Linked DNA regions of Diceros bicornis minor. The protein of the gene in region 1 purifies or fractionates together with the protein of each later gene. This does not show direct contact. Links are inferred from orthologs where the notes say so. Each region holds a gene or a part of one and is shown on either strand. Other genes may lie near its edges.

The links.
Region 2: the proteins of ARID1A (region 1) and BCL7C purify together in Homo sapiens (affinity purification with mass spectrometry; 5 studies listed by BioGRID and IntAct, counting the BioPlex papers as one, with this or other methods). This does not show direct contact. The link is inferred for Diceros bicornis minor from reciprocal best matches to the Homo sapiens genes ARID1A and BCL7C.
Region 3: the proteins of ARID1A (region 1) and BCL7A purify together in Homo sapiens (affinity purification with mass spectrometry; 5 studies listed by BioGRID and IntAct, counting the BioPlex papers as one, with this or other methods). This does not show direct contact. The link is inferred for Diceros bicornis minor from reciprocal best matches to the Homo sapiens genes ARID1A and BCL7A.

Annotation. Positions count from the first base shown.
Region 1 is NC_080752.1:42,499,738-42,507,050, forward strand, and holds the start of ARID1A (AT-rich interactive domain-containing protein 1A), read left to right. Parts: upstream 1-3,197; 5' UTR 3,198-3,227; coding exon 3,228-4,361; intron 4,362-7,313. UniProt on the Homo sapiens protein: Involved in transcriptional activation and repression of select genes by chromatin remodeling (alteration of DNA-nucleosome topology).
Region 2 is NC_080765.1:21,106,414-21,113,726, reverse strand, and holds BCL7C (B-cell CLL/lymphoma 7 protein family member C), read right to left. Parts: upstream 4,327-7,313; 5' UTR 4,172-4,326; coding exon 4,080-4,171; intron 3,548-4,079; coding exon 3,469-3,547; intron 3,146-3,468; coding exon 3,037-3,145; intron 2,944-3,036; coding exon 2,782-2,943; intron 1,321-2,781; coding exon 1,235-1,320; intron 423-1,234; coding exon 297-422; 3' UTR 227-296; downstream 1-226. Other genes in the region: CTF1 (cardiotrophin-1), read left to right, coding at 6,752-6,776. UniProt on the Homo sapiens protein: May play an anti-apoptotic role.
Region 3 is NC_080774.1:8,031,354-8,038,666, reverse strand, and holds the start of BCL7A (B-cell CLL/lymphoma 7 protein family member A), read left to right. Parts: upstream 1-2,582; 5' UTR 2,583-3,102; intron 3,103-3,355; exon of another isoform or gene 3,356-3,514; 5' UTR 3,515-3,518; coding exon 3,519-3,610; intron 3,611-7,313.

The DNA.
Region 1 (7,313 bases):
GTGCGGTCGGGGACGGTGATAAGAACTCTCCAGTGAGGGAGCGAGCGAGACTTTAGTCCGGTTTCCATGTCAACGATTCAGTCCATATTTGCCATCAGGCTGTTGGTGGCAGAGGCGCTTTCGTGAGGGTAGCGCTGTCCTAGTCCTAGTTCTCCAATCTGCGCCGGGATTCCTTAGCTGCCTGGGTGTGGGGTTAAAAAGGCAGGGGCCTTGGGGGAGAAAACTCCACCAAAGGGAGGACCCACAGCCCCAAACTCGAAGCTCGGGCCAGCCACGTGCCCAGCTCCTCCCCTCCCCCCTTTCCCGCTGCCACTGCCTCTAGGGAAAGCTGATGAGCCGGTTTCTAAGAAAGTTCCCTTCAACTCGGCAGTCCCCGGGATAGTGGTGTGGGGCTCTAAAGGTAGGGGTGGAAGAGGACCCTAAAGGATTTGAGATTAAAAAAACAAAATGAGAAAGGAGAAATCCCACATTACCTCTTCCAACCCAAGTGGATAGATTTTTGTGCACTCTGCCTTATTGCTAGAGAAAAATGGTGGCTGTTTTCAAAACAGGGTGCCCACGTGTAGGAAAGGGATTTGGGCAAATCCAAATTTCACAGCCAGTGAAGAAGGGAGATGAGGGCTTCCTCTGGAGACAAATCCATTATGGCTTCCAGATTTTCAGTGGGCTCCAGGTTTCCCATTACACTCCAGCTCTGAGGAAAATGGCAGGGTAATTGCATGTAAAAAATTCCTCATTTGTGTGCAGGACTCAAGACTGTTTGCCAGCTCAGAGGCAGTTGATTAAATAGCCAAGCTCCATTTATGAGGCAGCCTATAATTTGGTTTCTAGGACCTAATGCACTGGGAGAGTTGTTGCCTCTGAGGACTGTGAGTGAAACGAGGGCACTGGCCCATTCCAGTCAGTCAGACCCTGGTAGGCCGGTTTGGTTTTTGGCTTGGGGAAAAAAAAACACTCAGATCAACAGGAAGGTTATGCCTTTTTAGTGTCAGATGCTCTTAAATTTTCTTGAGGGTAGGAATGAGTCCAGATTTTTGGAATTATTCACTGTGACCAGTGGGATGGCCAGAACTCCAGGGGCCTGCAGAATCTGGAAGTTCTAAGATAATGGTTCTATGGCAATAAAGTCTCCATTTTATAAAATCTAAGGGGAAAGGAGGCCCTGGTGTCTAGTGACTACACTGGCCTGGGCCTCTCCCAAGGCAGCCTTCGGCCTGATGAGGAGCTGGAATCCCCTCTGGCTTTTGTAGCCTGTCATGTCAGAGCATTCCAAATCAGCCTGAGGAGGAAAAGGCTGTTGCTGGGATTTGGTGGGGCCTGTAGATCTGGAGTTTTCTTATGTATGCCTCCAGCTCAATCAGCATCTCTTAGAGTGTAATGGTAAACTCTGAAGAATCTTTAAGCTGGAGGACAGAAAACAAATTTGGGTTGCATCCATTTTCTAAGTGACCTGTTAGACTGCCCCTTTTCTCTCTTTAAAGAGAAAATGGTTTACCTCGGTTTGGCCATCCCTCTTCTGCAGTGGTCCCTTTGAACACTCAGGTTCCTCCAGTCCTGGGAGCCTTTTCTGTGGTCTGTTTATAGTCTTACAGGTACTATCTTTGGAGACTGGGGCTATTGTTCATTGTGGGCTAAGTTCTCTTAGGAGGCAAAGATGGAGCTTGGGTTCTTCTGCTAGAAGGCTGTCATATGCCCCCAAAGTAGCTTCAGTGGCAACTATTTCAAGTCAGTGTTGAGATGACCAGCTTTGATCTCAAACCCATTCTGATACTCTTATCCCATTGTTGGATATGGCACAATCCACAAAGTGGATTGACCACTTTTTTTTTTTAAAGCTAAGTGGACAAGGGCAGCTTTGGGGATTCTGCTACTTTTTAAAGCCGCCCTCTGACTTTAAGTGACAGGGCAGTCCTCTCCTCTCTGTTTATTAATTCTGTAAAATGGGTATATTCAGACCTCATGCCCCCAGGGCCTTGTGAGGACAGGCTAATGAGGGCAGGGGAGTGGGAAAATGGAAAGTCTGAACAATGATCTGTCATTCCATTCGGCTTGCCAAGGGGGTACAACGTAAGGCCCCACTTTGCTCACTCAGCTGGGTCTTTAGAGCGGGTTTCTAAAAGGCTTTGAAGAAGAAAAGTGCTGTAGAGGTGCTAAGAAGCAGCCAAGAGACCAGGCCCGCTGCCAGGGGGTCAGGCCTGGGCCGAGGCGGCCGCGGTCTCGGGCTCAGGCCAATTTTGCAGCCGCGAGTAAAGTTCACGCCGCCCGCTCCTCTCAGTGCGGCCTGGAGGGGACCGACCCGGATAGGAACGCCAGGAGGGAGGCGGCGCAGGCTCCGGAGACGCGCGAGCTCCGGGCCGGGTTTTCCCCGAAGCCTTCGGCGGCGGCGCTGCCGAGCGAAAGCGGCAGAGGGCCTGCCGCCGCCGCGGCTCGTTCTCTCCCCTCCTCCTTTGTGAGGGGAAGGGAGCGAGTCCGTTCCACGGCCTGCGCCCGCTCCGCACTCCGTTCCGGGTTTGCCAGGCGGCCGCGACGGCGCTGGGTAAAATGGCAGTGCTGAGCCTCGTGTCGGAGTGAGGGGGACTCGGAGGAGAGTGGGGCGCTCTAGCCGCTCAGTCCGGCCGCCCGCCCGCTCGCCCGCCCGCTGCCGCGCAGCAGCCTCGGCCGGCGCCGCGGCCGGGGAGGGGAGGCAGGGCGTCCGGTCCAGCCTGCGCTCCGACTCTGCCTCCCGGCACCCGGGCTGCTGCCGCGCGCCCTCCAGCCCGCCCGTCCCGGGTCCCCCTCCCCCCGCTCCCTCCCTCCCTCCCCGCCCCCTCCCCCTCGCCTCCCTCCCTCCCTCCCTCCTCCTTTCTCCGGCAGCAGAAAGCGGAGAGTCACAGCGGGGCCAGGCCCTGGGGAGCGGAGCCTCCACCGCCCCCCTCATTCCCAGGCAAGGGCTTGGGGGGAATGAGCCGGGAGAGCCGGGTCCCGAGCCTACAGAGCCGGGAGCAGCTGAGCCGCCGGCGCCTCGGCCGCCGCCGCCTCCTCCTCCTCCGCCGCCGCCAGCCCGGAGCCTGAGCCGGCGGGGCGGGGGGGAGAGGAGCGAGCGAGCGCAGCGCAGCAGCGGAGCCCCGCGAGGCCCGCCCGGGCGGGTGGGGAGGGCAGCCCGGGGGACTCAGCCCCGGGGCGGGGTGGGAGGGGGGGAGAAGACGAAGACAGGGCCGGGTCTCTCCGCGGACGAGACAGCGGGGATCATGGCCGCGCAGGTCGCCCCCGCCGCCGCCAGCAGCCTGGGCAACCCGCCGCCGCCGCCCTCGGAGCTGAAGAAAGCGGAGCAGCAGCAGCGGGAGGAGGCAGGGGGCGAGGCGGCGGCGGCAGCGGCCGAGCGCGGGGAAATGAAGGCAGCCGCCGGGCAGGAAAGCGAGGGCCCCGCCGTGGGGCCGCCGCAGCCGCTGGGAAAGGAGCTGCAGGACGGGGCCGAGAGCAATGGGGGTGGCGGCGGCGGCGGAGCCGGAGGCGGCGGCGGGCCCGGCGCGGAGCCGGACCTGAAGAACTCGAACGGGAACGCGGGCCCTAGGCCCGCCCTGAACAATAACCTCACGGAGCCGCCCGGCGGCGGCGGTGGCGGCAGCAGTGATGGGGTGGGGGCGCCTCCTCACTCAGCCGCGGCCGCCTTGCCGCCCCCAGCCTACGGCTTCGGGCAACCCTACGGCCGGAGCCCGTCTGCCGTCGCCGCCGCGGCGGCCGCCGTCTTCCACCAACAACATGGCGGACAACAAAGCCCTGGCCTGGCAGCGCTGCAGAGCGGCGGCGGCGGGGGCTTGGAGCCCTACGCGGGGCCCCAGCAGAACTCGCACGACCACGGCTTCCCCAACCACCAGTACAACTCCTACTACCCCAACCGCAGCGCCTACCCCCCGCCCCCCCAGGCCTACGCGCTGAGCTCCCCGAGAGGTGGCACTCCGGGCTCCGGCGCGGCGGCGGCCGCCGGCTCCAAGCCGCCTCCCTCCTCCAGCGCCTCCGCCTCCTCGTCGTCGTCGTCCTTCGCTCAGCAGCGCTTCGGGGCCATGGGGGGAGGCGGCCCCTCCGCGGCCGGCGGGGGAAACCCCCAGCCCACGGCTACCCCCACCCTCAACCAACTGCTCACGTCGCCCAGCTCAGCCCGGGGCTACCAGGGCTACCCCGGGGGCGACTACGGCGGCGGGCCCCAGGACGGGGGCGCCGGCAAAGGCCCGGCGGACATGGCCTCGCAGTGCTGGGGGGCTGCTGCTGCGGCGGCGGCGGCGGCGGCAGCCGCCTCGGGAGGGGCCCAACAAAGGAGCCACCACGCGCCCATGAGCCCCGGGAGCAGCGGCGGCGGGGGCCAGCCGCTCGCCCGGACCCCGCAGGTACACAGCTGAGTGGGGGAGGGGGCTGGGGCGAGCGGGGTCCTGGGAGTGGGTGGCGGCTGCGGAGAGCAGGCCGCAGCCGTGGGCTACCCCTAGTCCGGGGCCCCCATTACTGGGGAGCTGCCATTGTCTGGCTCTTCTCTCTTAAAATGGCTGCCTGTCTGCCTTCCTCTCCTTCTCTCCTTCAGCCTTTGTGTGGGGCTTTCCCTGAGGTGTCTGCTCCCCTTCTCCCTCTCCCCTGGTCCCTCCGAACTCCGAGGATCTTCAAGGGGGTGCGGGGCAGAGTGTGCGGGGAAGGGTCCTGCCTGGGGTGAGGGGGTTCTGGGGGCTTAGGCTAGGGGTGTAGGCAGTGGTAGGAGCTCGGAAGTTGAGTGAACAGTTCTTTGCTCACCTGCCGTTCCTCTCTGCCCCCCCTGCCTTCCTCTAGGCCGTCCCCCATCTGTGCTTTCAAGGAGGGGCCCCTCGGGCTCGAGGGGACCTCGAAGGAGGGCAGGGGCCTGCTTGGGGGCAGCTAGAGGCCGGCTGCGGTTCACCCGGGGCAGCCCGGGCCATCTCTTGTCTTAGTCTCCGTCGGCCCAGTGGCCTGGGCTTCTCCCTGGAAGTGCTGGTAAACAGCTGAGTGATTGGAGTAGTAAGTGCAGATTGCTTTGGTTTGGGATTTGAATTATGGAGGTAAAATCCTTCTGTCAAAGCCAGGAGACAGTTGGTCTTAGGTTGACATCCTATCTGTGATCTGATTGGCTCCCCATCTCCTGCTCTTGGCCATTTATAATTGCCTCTGATGTAATGGTACAACAATCCTGATGAGCTCATAAACTTTTACACTCTGCTTTTCTGCCAGTGATAACCCAAACCATCGCTGCCACTATCTGCCTTTTATTCCAGAACTGAAATTGGCTGTGACCTTGAGGAGGGAGGTTTAAGCAGCAATACTGTATCAGCAGGAGCAGAGCCCTAGACAGGCTGCCCTTGTTACATTGTGCCCGAAACAAAAGAGGAGGCAGTGGCATTTTGCGTGTACCTTGGATTTATTTTGCTTGTTATGTTTTATGCAGCCTGAAATAGATTCTGTGTTGTCAGAACAGTAGCTGAGTTTTTCTCTACAATGGGTTTGCTGTTTGTTTTGGTTTTGTGACTTTCCTGATAGTATAAATGACTTCTTTGATAGCTCTGAAGATGCATTTGTCTTGAGTAATTTTGACCCTGTTGGCTTTGCAGAATTGAAATTATTTTACTGGGCTGTTTATTGAGTGGCAAACTAGGATCTTTATGAGAGGGGATAGGGGAATTTTTTTTTTTTTTTTTTGAGAACTGTAAGTTTTCTGAGAGAGATTTCTTATTAGGTTCAAGTGTTTTAAGGATGGCTGGTCTCATTCTTTAGGTGTTGAATCTTGTTAACACTTTTCTTTTGTTAACTGAACTTTGGGAGAGCAGCTCAATTTAAAGGGAAGCTAACATCTTTCATGATCTTGAGAGGGACTTTCTCCTAAAGCCTTGGTTTGGTGAAATTTGTCCTTTGTTCCTGGAATATCAAAAAGGCCAATTTTCTTTTTTGTCATCAGTCGTTTTAAAGCTTTGAAATAGAGGTTGACCAGTTTTTCTCTCTGCATTTTAAAGTATGTTCCGTTTTTTTCTATCTTCCAAGATAGTAAACGTACATTTTACAATGACACTAAAGATTTGCTTAGAAATGACAACTTTTAGGTATGTTTTTATGCATTCTATCTTACTGTTGTTTTGCTCTTCTTCCGTCTTCATTGTTTTCTGTCTTCAGTGCTTTGGTCAGGAATATTGGGTGGTCTATGGAGTCATGTAACTTTTCAAAGAGGTAAAAAAGCTCTGTTCGTGTCCCCTCCTCCCAGCAGTACCCAATTGTACCTTTGTGCTACAAGATTTTGTTTACTTAGGCGGGCTAATTAGCTGTATTCCCTCCCCATCCTAGGACTGCTTTTCTACTCTTCCATTGAGCTGGGAATTTTGAAAATAGTTGTGTTAGATGGCAGGTTTAGAGTTCTGTGTCTTGACTCCATGTTTTCCATGATGTTCTACATCTGGGCAAGAAATAGGAGACTTTTAAATCGGATTTCTAGTGTCTAGAGGATCAGTTTGGTCTTAGAAAACAAAACATCATCTTGTCTCTGGGTCATTCTATAGTCTACACCTCATTCTTTCCCCTTTTTGGGGGAGGTGGCTGAGATATTTATCTTTCTTAAACTATTAGAGGAAATTATTTGAGGTAAGTCCAGGCTCATTCAAAAGCAAAAATTAATTTGAATTCTGCTGGTTTGGGGACATTTGGGCAAATACTTTTTTTTTATAAAACCAACTTCTGCCCTATAGTGGTTTCTGTTTTTCCTTCATTAAACATATATTTGAGCCTTTCTATTTGCTGGATACTATGCTCTGTGCTGGATAAATGATAAGAAAATAGATACAGTCCCTGTTTGGAAGCTTGTCTGTGCTGCCTTTGGGTGAATTTTCTGATTCCCTTTTAACCTCACCAGACCCAGCACTTCACACAACATAGATTCCTCCTGTTCGATTTCAGTTCAGTTCATTCTCTGAGACCCAGAGAATGGGCTGGTGAGCATGCATTTCTGGAAGAGACAGTGCAACTTCCAGTTTTGTGGGCTGCTTCAGATATGTAGTCTAGATGAGGGTTGTAGGTGGATCGATTTTGTTCTGAATTCCTCTTTTCTACTTAAGGACAAACTTCTTGTCTCAGACCATGATGCCCTATTCTTAAGCATTCTTAAATAATAGGGTCTTGCTCTGTCCCCTTCTTTCCCTAACTCAGTCTTGGATTAAGAGTATTTTACAGAGACTTGATTGACACAGCTAAGGTGGTAATGTTCTCATTTGACTTTGCCTTTATGAAATAAAGACTGGGTGTGTGTATCGTGGCTATGTCTTTCACAGGAGCTGGGAAGATCCCAGCAGACAAACTTTTCC
Region 2 (7,313 bases), on another chromosome or scaffold:
GGAGGGCTGAAGGTCAGGAAGAGTCAAAGTAAGGGACAGAGCAGGGTAGAGGGGGTGTGGGCAGGCAGGGTCCTGGCTCAAGCCCCCATTCTGTGTCTGACTCATGCTGTGACTATAGGAAGGTCCTCTGAGAGCCTCAGTGACCCCATCTGAGAAATGGAGCATGAGACAAAACTGTCTCCAAAGACCCTCCCCAGCCCTGACGGGGAAATGACATGACACAAAATTACAAAAGGGTCTTTATTTGTAAAAAGCCAAAGGGACCCCGGGGGCGACAGGACAGGCAGGCCGGCTTCTCAGGGGTCGGGGGCATTTGGGCAGATGCGCTTGAGTGGGGGGGCGCCCTCCGAGTCCTCTGTGTCACCCTGGGCTGCCTCGGGGACAGGTGGCACTGGCTCAAAGACAGGGTAAGCTTCGGGGGCCTGGAGAGGAAGGGTGGACAGGCATGAGCTCTACCCAGACCCAGGAGTGCAGTCTCCTAGCCTCTGCCTTCTCCAAGGCCTCCACTCCACTCCCCTCCCGGACCCAGGAGTCTAGCCCAGGGCCAGGGACCCGGGATGCAGATTACATAGGGCACCGGAAACAACCACAACACTGTTTTGGGGAAAGAAGTTGATACTTGATATTTCTGGAAAATGCATCAAGGTAGTCCTTATGGGAAAAATCAGAGGTTTATGGGGGACTTTCTTCAGCTAATTTTATTTATTTATTTATTTGGCTGAGGAAGGTTGGCCCTGAGCTAATACCTGTTGCCAATCTTCCTCTGTTTTTTTGCTTGAGGAAGATTAGCCCTGAGCTAACATCTCTGCCAATTTTCCTCTATTTTGTATGTGGGTCACCGCCACAGCATGGCTGATGAGTGGTGTAGGTCCGCGCCCAGGATCCGAACCCGGGCCACCAAAGAGGAGCACGCCAAACTTAACCACTGTGCTGCCACGGGTCCAGCCCTTAAGCTAATTTTATAGTTTAGGATTAAAAAAAAAAAACTTGGAGGAGCACCATGATCTTTTCAGGCTTTTAATGGTCTTAAATCAGCCCCGATCCAGCCCACAGATCTTTATTTCTAAACACCCTTTCCTTTTCAGTCCCAAGAACCCAGCCTCTAAGCCTTTAGCTGCGTCTGAGGTCTACATTTCCTGCCTGGACCTCAGGAGTACAGCCTCCAAGCCTTCGGCTGCCCCAGAGCCCCCATTCCCTCAAAGACCCAGGAGTCCAGCCTTCTGGCCTCTCTCACCTCAGCCTCCAGCAATTCTGGAACAGGCTCCTCCTTGGTCAGCATTGGGGGTTCGTCGGTGCCGCCTGCAGTTATGCCCCCAGGATCTGGAACGTCAAGTTAACAGACATTCCCTGAGCAGCCGCTCTGTGCCATAGCGCAAACCAGGGGGAAACAAACACCAATCACATAAGCCCACAGGCTGTGGGAGCACTGAGGAGGGAGCCAGGAACCTGGCTGCAACCCAGGAGGAAGACACAGGAATAACATTTAGGTGGGATCTTGACAGGTGAGTAGAATTTGATCTGGCAGACAGATGGGGAGGTAGAGCACATTTTAGGCAGAGGGAACATTTGCTTAGCCAGCACAGATTGTGGGGCTGGACTGCCCAGCTTCAAATCCTGACCTGACTTAATTTCTCTGGGCCTCAGTTTTCCCATCTGTAAAATGGAGATAATGATAGTAATTACCATGTGAGGATTAAATGAGAGAATACAGGTAAAGCCCTTAGCACAGTGTCTGGCACGCAGTTAGTGCTCAGTAAATGCCAGTTACTGGTTTTATGTTAGCAAAGGTATACACGTGCCGGGCACAGTCTAGATACAGTCTGTAGGCCCAAGGCATGGTGTTCCTGGAAGGGAACAATGAGGTCAGCAGGGGACAGTTCAGGAAGGGCCCAGAGTGCCAAGCTGCAGAGTCAAAGGCCATAGGGAGCCACTGAAGGCTCTGAGCAGGAAAATGACCCAGTCGAACTTGTGCTTTAGTTGCTCTGGCAGCTGTGCTGGGGCGACTGGAGGAGAGGAGACCCATGAGGAGGCTGGAGCCAGGAACAGGTGAGAGAGATGACAGCCCGGGGAGGGAGAGGAAGGCAGACATATTTGGGAGGTGGCACTGACCAGACGGGTGATTGACTATATGGAAGAAAGAGCAGTGAGGACGACTCATGCCCAAGATGCTGGCTCATTGGCTGTGAGCTTAGGCAACTCACTTAACTTCTCTGGGTTTTGGTTTCTCGTCTACAAATGGGGATCATAACAGGATTATAACCCTCAGAGGGTTGTAGTGAGGATTAAATGAAATAAAACACGTAAAGTGCTTAGAAGGGTGCCTGGCACACAGCAAGAGCTCAATAAGTAGTAAATGTTATTAGCACTTATTTATCACTCTTAGGATTATCACTATTATTTATTCCTCAACAAATATTTATTGAGCACCTACTATGTGTCCCAAGTTGTTCTGAGGAGACAATAGTGAACAAGATCAACATGGGCCCAACATTCAGGAAGCTGACATGAGGTGGGAATCAGAGAGAAAGACATTTAAGTAGTAAAAAGTTAAATTTACATGAAAATCTCGAATAGTGATAAATATCTACAGACCCTAAGAAGCCAGAGGAAGGAGACAGACAGTTGTCAGAGGTAGGGCAGTGACTTCCCTCGGGAGTCAGGGAAGGCCTCCCTAAGGAGGCAACACAGGATAGGGAGCAGCTGTAGGAGTAAGCTGGTGGCTTCAACTTTGGAGAGGACAAGACTCAGAAGAGAGGGCTCCTGGGAGGCAGCTGGTCCTACCTCTCTCCTGGCCCAGCCGCGGGGGCTGAGCGTCCTCCAGGACCCCTTCCGGTGGTCCGGCAGGTGACACAGGGCGGCTGGGCTGGGGGGTGCCCCCAGGGCTGGGCTCAGTGCCCTTTTGCAGGGAGCCTTCCGAATGGAAACTCTGGTTACTGTTCTCATCTGTGGGAGCAAAAGCCAAGAGGGTTGGGCCTGAGGCCCTCAGTCCCCTCACTCAATCCCCACAGCCCCCCAAATTCCAGGATCCCTACATACCATTGAGATCAAGCAGGATGAGAGGGCCACCCCCTCGGGGACTGGCACCCCTGCCCCGACGCTCCCGGCCTCGAGATCTCTCTGCCCCACCTCCTGCCCTCCGTCGCTCCTGGGGGTTAGAGGGTAAGGGTCAGAGCCAGCTTTCTAGTCAGTACTTGCAAAGCCCCCACTGTACAAATAAGCAAACTGAGGCACAGAGAAGCAAAAGGCCCTGCATGAGGTCACAGAGGTTGTGCACACGAGGTTAGGTCTTGAACTCAGGGATCTGGAGTAGGAAGAAGGGAGAAGGGGTGGAGTTGCTAATAATTGTTAACATCTGTTTGGGCTGCTGCATTTGAGGTCTGAGTGGGGACTGGAGATGGAGGCCAGGGTGGGGAGGGGCTTGCCTGCTGTTGCACAGATGCAGGGCCTGGTGTGGGGGAGCTTGCTCACCTCCTCCTGGGGGTCCACCACTGGCACCCACTTGAAGATACGAAGGGAAGTGTCGCCCACAGTCACCCAGCGCTTCTCCCTGTGGGAGGGTGAGGGAATTGGGTCAGAGAGGCCTGAAAAGAGATCCCCCCCAGGAACTGGACACATCTGGGGATACCAGCAGACGTGTGGGTGGTGCACGAGGGAAGGGGCAGTTTTGCTAATAGGGCATAGTTAGAGGAAGAAAGAGAGCTCTGCAGACCCCAGGACATACATGGGCCCAATGGGCCATGGCTCTGCAGACCCCTGGGGTATACATAGGGAGCGCGGCCACGGGCCGGCTGGAGAGGGTAGCAATGAAGATCCCGGGGCATACTTGCGGGAGGAGTGTCAAAGCTTTAGGGGGCGGGGCATATATGGGGGCTCTTGCTCTGGGAGGGCATGGCTGGGGAACACGCTTTGTACACCCCAGGGTGTAGCCAGGAGAAAGGGGACACAGCCCTGTAGATCCAGGACGCGGCTAGGGGGCACACCTAACAACTGGGGGCCACAGCTGGCGAAAGGAGGGTAGACGCATTTGGGGAAGGAGTGGCCCCGCCATGCCCCGTCCCCGGCCCCGGGGCAGCGCTCACCATCTCCGGACCTTCTCGATGGTCGCCATCACCTTCTTGATGTCATCCTTGGCCCGGCTCCGGGTCTCGGCCCGCACGGTCCGGCCGGCCATGCTGGCGGGGCTGGGGCCGAGGCCGAGCCCGCGGCTGGGCCGCCTCCCGTCCGGCGGGCTCAGGCTCGGCGCCAGGCCGGGACGCCGCTCTCTCGGCCTGCCGTCCCTCCGGGAGTTGGCCGCGCCCTCCCTCGCTCCCCAAAGCCTGCACGAGTCCCCGCCCCGCTTCCTGCCGCCGCGCCCCGCCCCGGCCCGTCCCCAGAGCGGCCCGGCGGCGCGGGCGGCCAGAGCCCAGGCCTGGAAGCCGGCCGGCCCCGCCCCGACCGGGCCCGCCCCCTCGGGGCGCCCCGACGCGCAGCGCCCCCTGCCCGCCGCCGAGAGGGAGGTTGGGGGCAGCTCGAGGAGTGGACGAGAGCGGCAGGGCTGAGGCGGTGCGTTCAGACCACGTGGACGCCGGGGGTGGGGGTGGGGGGTGCGAGACGGTCTGGGTACCGGAGCGCGTCCGCTGCGCGTGAGTGTCCTTGAAAGGCTGTGTGTGTGTGTGTGTGTCCACCCCCGCCTGCCCGACTATTCCTTCATCCATTCTTGCAACTATCTATTAACTGAGTGACGATTGCGTACCAGACACTGCAAATATGAGTGGGTCTCCACCCACCAGAATGACTAAAATGAGAATGACGGACCATATCAAGTGCAGGCCAAGAAGTAGAGCAACTGGACCTCTCCTATTTCTGGGGGAGTGTAAATTGGTAGTTTTCTAGTGGAGACGAACATACACCGACCCTATGATCTAGCAATTCCACTCCCAGGTCGTCAACAGAAATGCGTAGGTATGAGCACCAAGAGAGTGTACTGGAATGTTCATAGCAGTATTCATATTAGCCTCAAACTGGAAACAACCCATCAACAGGAGAGTGGAAAATGAACTATAGCTTGTTCACACCATGGACACAGCAAGAGAATGATGTCCTGCTACACCCAACCACAGGGACAAATCTCATGAAAGAAGTCAGATTCAACAGTAAACATTGTATGATTCCATTCATATGAAGTTCAAAAAAAAGGCAAAACTAATTTATGGTGTGAGAAGTCAGGATAGTGGTCATCCTTGGGACTGGGAGGGGCTGAGAGGGGGCTCGGGGAACTGGTCCTATTCTGTTTCTTAACCTGGTGCTGATTCCCTGGGGATGTTTACTCTGAAAATACATTGAGCTGTACACTTACAATGTGTGCGCTTTTCCCTATGTATATTATACTTCAATTAAAAGTTTACTTAAAATGTATCTTGGTTGATTTTGAGGCTGTTTGCCAGCAGATATGACATGTCTAAGTTTGTGTTGCTGTGTGTGCATGTGTTTAGCTATTACGTAGCTATGGTGTCTGTGTGTTTTGGTGTGACTATGTCCAGAGGGGTTAAGGTATAGGAAGGTGGTTATGACAGCATTTCTGGAGCCAAACTGCCGAAGTATAATCCCAGCTCTGCTTGTCCAGTGACCTTGGACGAGTCACTTATCTCTATTTCCTCAACTATAACATGGGACTGAATTAATATGTATATAGCTCTTAGAACAGTGCCTTGCATATTGTAAATACCCAAGAAATAGTCACTGTTAATAAGTGTGTGATTGTGGCCCCTACCATCAGTTGCACCTGCTGTGCCCTCTGCCAGTTAATCTCTTTCTTACTTTATTCTGGCAGTTGTCTGCTCATGGCAATATCCTCACAGACACACAGGCCTCCTTCCTAGTCCCTTCACTCACAAACCTCATTACCTGCTGTTGCCTATGGTCTCCCCCAACATTCTGTGAGCTCCTCAGGGGGCCAGAGACCAAGTATGGATCATCTCTGGGTCCCAGAGCCCAGGACAGAGTGGGTGCTTGGGAACCATCTGTGGGGATAAGTGTGTTTGCACCAGGTTAGTGGGGTTGACATACAGGTATGACCCCCTGTACCTGTCTCTTAAGCTTGTTCCTGTGTGAGAATGAAGGTCTGTATGCATTAATGCTTCAGTAGGTGTGGGTGTGTCAGACGGGTTCTCTTACTGGGCCTGGTAAGGTGAGGTGAGGTGAGATGGTATCTGTCTCCCTCCTAGTAGATGTGACAACGAGAAGGAGGGCAGAAGGTATCTAAGACACGCCAGGAGGTGTATGCCGGGGCAGGTGTGGCCCAAGCCTGAGGGCCCCCATCGCGGCCTCTCTCACACCCCGTTCCTCCCTCCCCCCCAGCCAAGAGGAAGGGCCAGCACATTCCTGTCCTGCCAGCCCCGCCCTCTCCTATCCCCTCAGCTTTTTCCCATAAGCAGCCCGGGGGCCAACCTTTGCCCCAGGTCGGAGCCTGAGCCTCCTCCTCCCGACGTGACGCAGGTCTGCCTCCCAGGTCCCGGCACCCCCAGCCTCGAGGTCCCGAGTCAACCATGCGGACAACCTGCCGCCCTTCTCAGGCCCCTTTCCCAACTAGGCCGCGCAGGCAAGGAGCTGAGCTCAGGGCCAAGGAATCCTGTCTAAGGCTTTGGCGGGGGAGGGGGATTGTTTGGGGTCTGAGCCCTGATTGGCTGCGTCCGGGCCACGCCCCTACCCCTTTTCCCCTTCTCCCCCCTCGGACCGGGGGCGTGGAGGCAACCGGGATCAGCCAGGGGCCAGCATGAGCCGGAGGGAGGGAAGTCTGGGTAAGGGGCTGAAGGGCCAGGTGCCAAGTTCCCGAGGGGAACAAAGGTCAGAAGGGCCGGAAGCTGGGGTCTGGGTCCCCGCCACCCCCGGGTCCGGGAAGGGAGCAGCCTGAGCGGGGGAGAGCAAGGCCCCGGTGTCAGGGTAACGAGCAGATGAGCTGTGGGTGAGCTGTGGGAAACAGCAAGCGCCAGAGTTTAGAGGTAGAGGAGGCCTGGGGCTGTGCCTTCAGGGAGTTGGGCTCAGGAGTTAGATCACCGGTTCGAGTACACCCTGGGGGAGGACTGGGGTCGTGGCTGGGGCAGGACGCCTGGATCTTCTCCGAGTATTGGGAAAGAATCGGAGCTGGGGGCCAGAGGGAGGGGTAGGGTTAGGGGAGGAAGTCTTTGGGCCCCAGGAGCTAGTGAATAACAACAGGAGACGAAAGTCGAGGCTGTTAAGGATAGGGACTGGCGGTGGGAAACTCAGGTGGGGGCGGGGGGCGGGGCGGGAGTTGCCAGACCAGGACTACATTCCCCAGCATGCCCTGGGCTCGCGCG
Region 3 (7,313 bases), on another chromosome or scaffold:
AGAGAGGTTCAGACACAAACGTAACTCAATAACCGCCTTCTTGTAACCCTCGGATCACTCTTTTAACATGTCTAGAATAACAACTAACACTCAGAGAGAGCTGGACTTCCAGTTTCTGGTAATTAGTTATTCAGATGAACTCTCAAGCTGAAAGCAACTAAAAATGCGAGAAAAAGTATTTAAAAACATCCTAAAAGCTACTACATGCTGACAAGATAGTAAGGAGTAGCCGAAATTGAAGGAAAAAGAGAACACTGAAAGATAATCGGCAAGGATGCCACTTTAATCCTGCAGATAATTGCCAAGCCTAAAATATTCAAACTTAAGTGTGAATGGCTTTTTTGAGGGAACAGCCCAGAAATCAGAGTCCAGGGGCCACACTAGGTGGGAGACAAGACCTTGCCCACGATAATTTAGGACCCCGTCAGCCTCCGCCAGTGGTATGCTGGTAAATATTTACCAACTGGCGCCGGGTGGGGTTGGGGAAAGGGTCCTGATGTATAGATAGCATTTGCCCATTTCCATAGTGTCAATACTCCTGCCATGGCTGATTTCAGACTGTCAGCATGTAGTCACTGAACACAGAGTTGGGAAGCGCAGGCCTGTCAGCCAGCTGCCCCACAACACTGACCCCAACTCAGGGTACAATAAGCAAACCAGTCTTGCTCAATTGAGCAGCTTATATTTGCATCACCTGGGTGGTCCCAGGAACCACAAGCCCTGAACTTGGATGTGGGTGGTCCTGGACCAGCAGTGCCCTCAAGAGCTGGCAGAAGCAAATGTAAAGCATCTCTACAGGAAGGTAACTTCATCCCAGGTCTCCAATTATCCGTACAAATAAATTTTAAGACACAGTGTCCAGCATGGTCCAAGAGAACCAGGCAGATCACAAGGAAATAGGACACCAGCAGCAAGAACCAGCAGAGACAGACCCTCCAAAACCTCAGATACTAGAATTATCAGACACAGACTTTAAAACCACTGTGCTTTGATGAAAGAAAGAAGTTTAAAAATATCTACAGGGGACAGGAAACTATAAAAAGGGACACACTAGATTTATAAAGAACATTTGTAGCAAGTTTTACAGTTTAATCAGAGATCAAAACCACAAATACCTTCAGGGGCCATCTGGTAACACAAATGAGTAAAGTGACTGAGTGACACACAGTGACCTGGAGAGCTCTGTCTGAGTGGCACTGGGCTCCTCCCCTCCAGCTGATTGTTGCCATGTGGCACTGGGGGCCCAGTTTGCAGATCTTCTATTTCTAGAGAAGCTAGATATTCTGATTTCTTTTTCTTGTGGCAAAATACACATAACATAAAATTGACCATTGTAACCATTTTAAAGTGTATAATTCAGTGGCATTAAGTATATTCGCCATGTTGTACAACCATCACCATTATCTACTTCCAGAACTTTTTCATCACCCCAAAAGGAAACCCCATATGCATTAGCAGTCACTCCCCTTCTCCCTCTCCCCTGCCCCTGGGCGACCACCAATCTGTTTTCTGTCTCTATGGGTTTGCCTAGTCTAGATATCTCACATAAGTGGAATCATGCAATATCTGTTCTTTTGTGATCGGTTTCTTTCACTTAGCATGTTTGCAAAGTTCATCCATGTTGTGGCATGTGTCCATACTTCATTCCTTTTTAATGGCTGAATAATATTCCATTGTGTAGACATTGATCAGTTGATATTTGGATTTTTGATATACCTTCCTATTGTAAATTCAAATATATATTTTAAAAAGTTCTGTGTGGCCCTAAGCATATATCTGCTGGCCAGATATAGTCAGAGGGCCAACAGTATGAGACCTCTGTTTTACAACCTGCTGTTACATATTTTCCCATATAACTCTCAGAATGATCCTCTGAGGTGTTTTTTTTTTAATAATTGTATTTATGTACTTTTTCCCCCAAAGCCCCAGTAGATAGTTGTATGTCATAGTTGCACATCCTTCTAGTTGCTGTATGTGGGACGCCGCCTCAGCATGGCTGGAGAAGCAGTGCATCGGTGCGCGCCCGGGATCCGAATCCGGGCCGCCAGCAGCGGAACGCGCACACTTAACCGCTAAGCCACTGGGCCGTCCCTGAGGTAAGTGTTCTTATCTTCATTTTTCACATTAGGTACTCCATTTCCCTAGTAGCTCTTCTCCCCAAACCCAAAACCTCAGGGGAAACTGCTTGATTCTAGAATAAGTGGGATTCAGAGACCTAGCTTATGGCTGTGACCTTGAACTTCCCTGAGACTCAGTTTCCCCGCGTGTAAAATGACTGGTGTTGGGCTAGTTTATCTCCAAGGCACTGGGCTTTCCCCGGCCTCCATCTGGGGAAACTAGGGCATGAATAAGTTCTGGTCAAGTCGGTTTAGCTGCTGCGAACACCAACACGAAGATGCGGAGATGCGGCACCTGCGTTATCCTGATAGTAATTGTAGATTCCTCCCAGAGCTGTCCTGAGGCAGGATGGGGAAGAAACCACCTCAGAAGTCCTCCTTGTAGGCGGGCCGGTCCATTTTCCCTGCTTGGGTCATTTGTGCGGTAGCAGCTTCTGGTCTGAGCCTGGGACTGAAGTCAGAGGAGTCGCTTAAATTTAAGTGGTGGTTCCCTTACGGAAACCCCAGCGCGGGCCCCTCACCTCACTTATGTTGAAGGCAACTTATCTCCAGGGGGAAAAGAAGCGCCCCTGTTGAAATGCTGATAATCATTGAGCCTTTCCTGCGCCGAAAACTATTTAATAAGCAAAGTCGAATGTCCCTCGTGGTCTGCCTCACCCCAGGCACCTTTCCTCCGACCCGAGTTTTCCGAAAGGACGAAGGAAAGGGAAGCGACGTCCTACTCGCGTATTTAAAGGGGGCACCGGGCCAGCAGAGATCCGTGTTTCTCAACTCTTTCCAAGAGCACCTCGCGTCCCGAGTCGCCGCCTTCAACTCGGAGAAGTCAGGAGCCCCACAGGAAACTTGCATTATTGCACCCGCCGCCACAAACCCGGGCCAGCGGACGGGCAGGCGAGCTGGCTCCCACGGAGTGCGCCCCCTCCACGGCCGGCCGCCCCGCGGGCCCGCCCTCCCCGGGGGACCCCTCGGCACCTGCGGCCTCCGAGTAAGTGTCTGCGCGCACGTCCGCCCGCCCGCCCGCCTCCCCCTCCGCGGGCCCGGAGCCGGGGGTCGCCGGGAGCCCTCGCCGCCTCCCCGGGGAGGGGGGTCGCGGGCGCCTCCCCGCGTGGGTGAGGGGGCTCGTGGGGCTGCCCGGCGGCGGCGGCGCCCGGAGGCCGCACTGCTGGCGGCCGCGGCGGCGCTGCTCCCCCTGCTCGGTGCAGCTGCCGCCCGGCGCTTGCGCACTGGGCCCCGGGCGCGCGGCGGCACCAGGCTTTGTGTGTGTGTATGTGTGTGTGAGTGTGTGTGTGTGTCTGTGTGTGTGAGTGAGTGAGCGGGCGGGCGGGCGCGAGTGTGGCCGCCGCGGAGCGCGAGCAGGACCCGGCGGGCGCGCTCCCCAGCCTCTCTCTCCCCGCCAGAACCATGTCGGGCAGGTCGGTTCGAGCCGAGACCAGGAGCCGGGCCAAAGATGATATCAAGAGGGTCATGGCGGCTATCGAGAAAGTGCGCAAATGGTAAGCGGAGGCGCCTCCTCGCTCGCTCCCTCGCCGGCGCCGCGGCCGCCCCGAACCCCGAGCCCCCATACAAAAAACCGGCGGGGCGCAGCGCCCCGGGCCGCCGCGGGCCCAGGAGTTGGAGAGGACGGGCGGCGCGCGAGCCCGGTCACCTGCGCCAGGCGGGGGCCGCGGCCGCTGCCCAGGTGCGCTCGCGCCTGTCGCCCACCTGGCGCGGCGGCGGCGGAGCCTGGAGACGGCGGGCGCCCGGGGCCGGGCGGTGGACGGCGGGCAGTCCTCGCCGCGGCGCTCGGCTCCCGGGAGGGGGGCTCGGGGCCGGCCCCAGAAGCCATTTCGTTTTGTGCAAGTCACATGAAAGCGGCTTCCCGCGCGCCGGGGCCGTGATGCCGGCGGCGGAGGGGAGAGCGCGAGCTCCATTGTGCAGGCACCGAGCGGGCCGCCGCCGTCTCCGTCTCCTCCCCGCGCGCCCCGGGCGGCGCAGCGCCGGCCCCCGCGCCCTTGCCCGCGCCGGCCTCCCTCGCTCCCTCCCTCCCTGCGCGCTGGCTCGCCCGCTCGCTCCCCGCCTCCCAGGCCCGGCGCCCTCGAGTCTGCGGAGTTTGCAGAGCGCGAGCCGTTTAAATTTAGCGCTTTGGGCTGCCTGGAGCGAGGGCTCTCGGCGAGGAAGAAAGATGGGGGCGAGCGCGGGGAGGAAACGCCGGCGGCGGCCGCGGGCCCCGGGCGCTGGGCACCCTCCACCCCGCTCAGCCGGGCACCGCGCGCGGGGACTCGGGGGCTCGGGCGAGCGAGTATTTTTGGCCAGAAACCGGTCGTGGGCCGCGTCTGCCTTTCCCAAACCCGCGGCTCGTGTTTGTTTTGCGGAGAGAGCCGTTGTTTTTGTTCTCGGCCCGGGGGGAAGGGGGCTTCGGGGGTGGCCATGCGTGTTCCTCAGGCTCGCGTTGGGTTCTGCCCGGCGTGGCCTCGTTGTAATTAACACGAGCGAACGATGCGCGGCCTCCGCGGGTCTGACTCGGGGTCGGCCCGAGAGGCAGGCCGGAGGCGCGAGCACATCGCCAGGTTGGGGCAGACTTGTTGAAAACTCCCAGTTCCCTGATTTCAACTTTATTATTTTTTTCCCACGGCTTCTCCAGGGTCGGGGAGGGAGAGGAGCAGCCGCGACGTGCTCGGGTGTCAGCGCCCGCGGGCTCGTCCTGACCCTTTATTTAGAGCCTAAAAACTGGGCCGGCCCCGTGGCGGGTATGTTTATGGGTAGGGGTGTCATTTTTTGAGTAACGCCTTGGTCTCTAAAAACCGCTGGGGGCGAGCCTCCGGTCTAACCGTGTCACAAGTTAGCTGTCCTTTCTGAGTCAAACCCAACAAAAAAGGCAAGAGGAAAATCAATAAAGTCCACGTGCTCCCCGGCCTCCTATGGAAAGGGCTGTCTGCAGATGGCCGGATGCCCGGCCGAGGGCTGGGTTTGGCTCCAATGGGACAAAGAATTTTCAGAACCGTGAGAAGGGGAGGCCTTCCAAAGTTGAGATCCAAGTCTTCGGTACTGTGGGAGCTCCCCCGGCGTGCAGGGCGCCCAGTGCCCGACTGAAGCCATTTAAAAATGGCAGAAACAGCTGCAGGCCAAAACACACACAGGAAAACAAGCCCACAACCCCCTCTCCTACCGGATCCCCAGAGGGAAGGCTGGAGTTGTCCCCTGCCTTAGCGCCTGTGCAAAGAAAGAACTGGTGTCTGGGCCTGTAGGTGAGAAAGGGGCTGGGGACAAGCTGCCTTTCTCTGTTCCAGGAGGCATGGTGGGGCCTTCTGCCCCAGGTTCCCAGCCGGGCAGAGGCCCCTGCACCCTGACAGCTGCTCCTGTAGGGCCCGCCCACCAGCTGCTCTGCAGGGAGGGCAGATGGAGCTATGGGGTTTTGCACCCTGCTGGGCCCCAGAGCAGCCCGCCTGGAGGCCTTCAGTGCTGCTGAACCCACTGTGGGCCAAGCATGTGTTTGTGGGGAGGGGAGGAGAGCATGTCTCCCTTCCTCCTCCTGTTTTGGGAAACAACATGTCACGTCCTCTAAGGACCTCAGGCTTTGGGATCTCATGGCTGGGTTTCCAGTTCACCCCCTTCCTGTGACCTTGGGCAAAGCATGTAACTTCTCTAACCATGGCAGCGAGGGGGGTCCTGCACTGTCTCCCCTCCTGGGGTAAGATTGTGTCCCCAGAGCACTTATCTCTGCACACAGGAGGCGTCATTAAATGCACTCCTTATTGTAAAGTGGGCTCTGTGGAAACTTGCATTTTGCTGATTTTTTTCTTTTTTTTCTGCCCCTTGTAAGCAAAAAAGACTTCACCTTATTTCCTGGGTTTCTGCAGCCCGGAGAAGCCAAATCTCACCTTTGCTGTGCCTTTAGAACGGGTCTTCCAGTCGGTCCTGGAGGCTCTGGGTTGTTTATTAACTGCGTGGCCACCAACCATGCATTTCACCACTGTCTGGGACGCTCGGTTGCCAGATTAGCAAATAAAATTACAGGACACCCAGTTAAATTTGAATTTCAGATAAACAATGAAATAACTTTAAAAAAATTTTTTGGGGGATGGGTATAAGTATGTCCCATGCCATATTTGGGACATACTTATACTAAAAGATTATTCGTTGTTTATCTGAAATTCAAATTTAATTTGACATCCTGTGTTTTATCCAGAGGAGAACGGAAGTGTCTGGCATACCGTTCAGCATGTAAGCCTGGGGTGGTGTTTCACCTCAGCCCCAGTGACCCCTAAAAATCCCCTGCCAGCCCTACCCTTCCCCTGCCCCTGGAAAAAGCCAGCAGCCAGCTGTGGCCACCCCATCGGTAGCTGCCAGCCGTCTCGCCTCTCCTTGCTGTCTGGTGTCGCAGTAAGGCAGGCTGGTAGGGTGTGAGGCAGCCAGAAGATGGCCGAAGGAAGAACAAAATGGTCGGCCACTTTTGGGAAACTGGGCCAGGGTGAGGAGACCCAGGGTGGGTGGAAGAGAGCAGGGGAGGGGGAGTCCTTGGGGGGAGGCAAAGGCTTGAGCTGTGAAGTAGACTTAGGCTGGGGACCCCTGGACCTTGGTCTGAAGGGTCCCTCAGTGTCTTGTAAAGATAGAGAGAGGCCTGTTCCCCGAGGACTTCCCACCTGTCCCTGGGGGAGAGGGAGGTTTGTGCCTGGGGCCTCGCCTCGGTGCCTCCAGGGGTAGGGGCACACAGTAGGGCCAGTGGGCCTGGTTAGGATAAGGCCAGCCATAGCCAGTCCTCCTAAGGGGTCAAGGACTAGCCCTGGGAAGTGAATACCAAGTGAAGGATTCAGAGCCCTCTTTGAGGGAGTCAGCAGGGTCCCCTTGGGTGGTGGGTCACCCCCAGATGGTCTCCTTGGCGAGGAGACCCTGATGGGGGAGAGAGGGGTACTTAAGCCTGGCTGGTTACCAGGGGCCAGCAAGGCAGGAGGGCTCAGGGCACGCCCAGGGGCAGCTTCATGGCAAGGTTGGGGTGCAGCCTGGTGGTCACAGTGAATCCGGGCCCAGTGCCTACAGGTGGTGAGAACTGGGGGATCTGAGGGAGCCACAGAGCCCCATCTGGAGAGAGCCATTGCTCCTCGGGGCACGCAGGCCCCTTGTGGCCAGATCTTGTTTTTGAGAGTATCCAGGAATCTGGATTTTTATGCACAGTCTGACTTTTTTTCTTTTTTCTTAAAGTTTGGCAATTGATTGAAATTT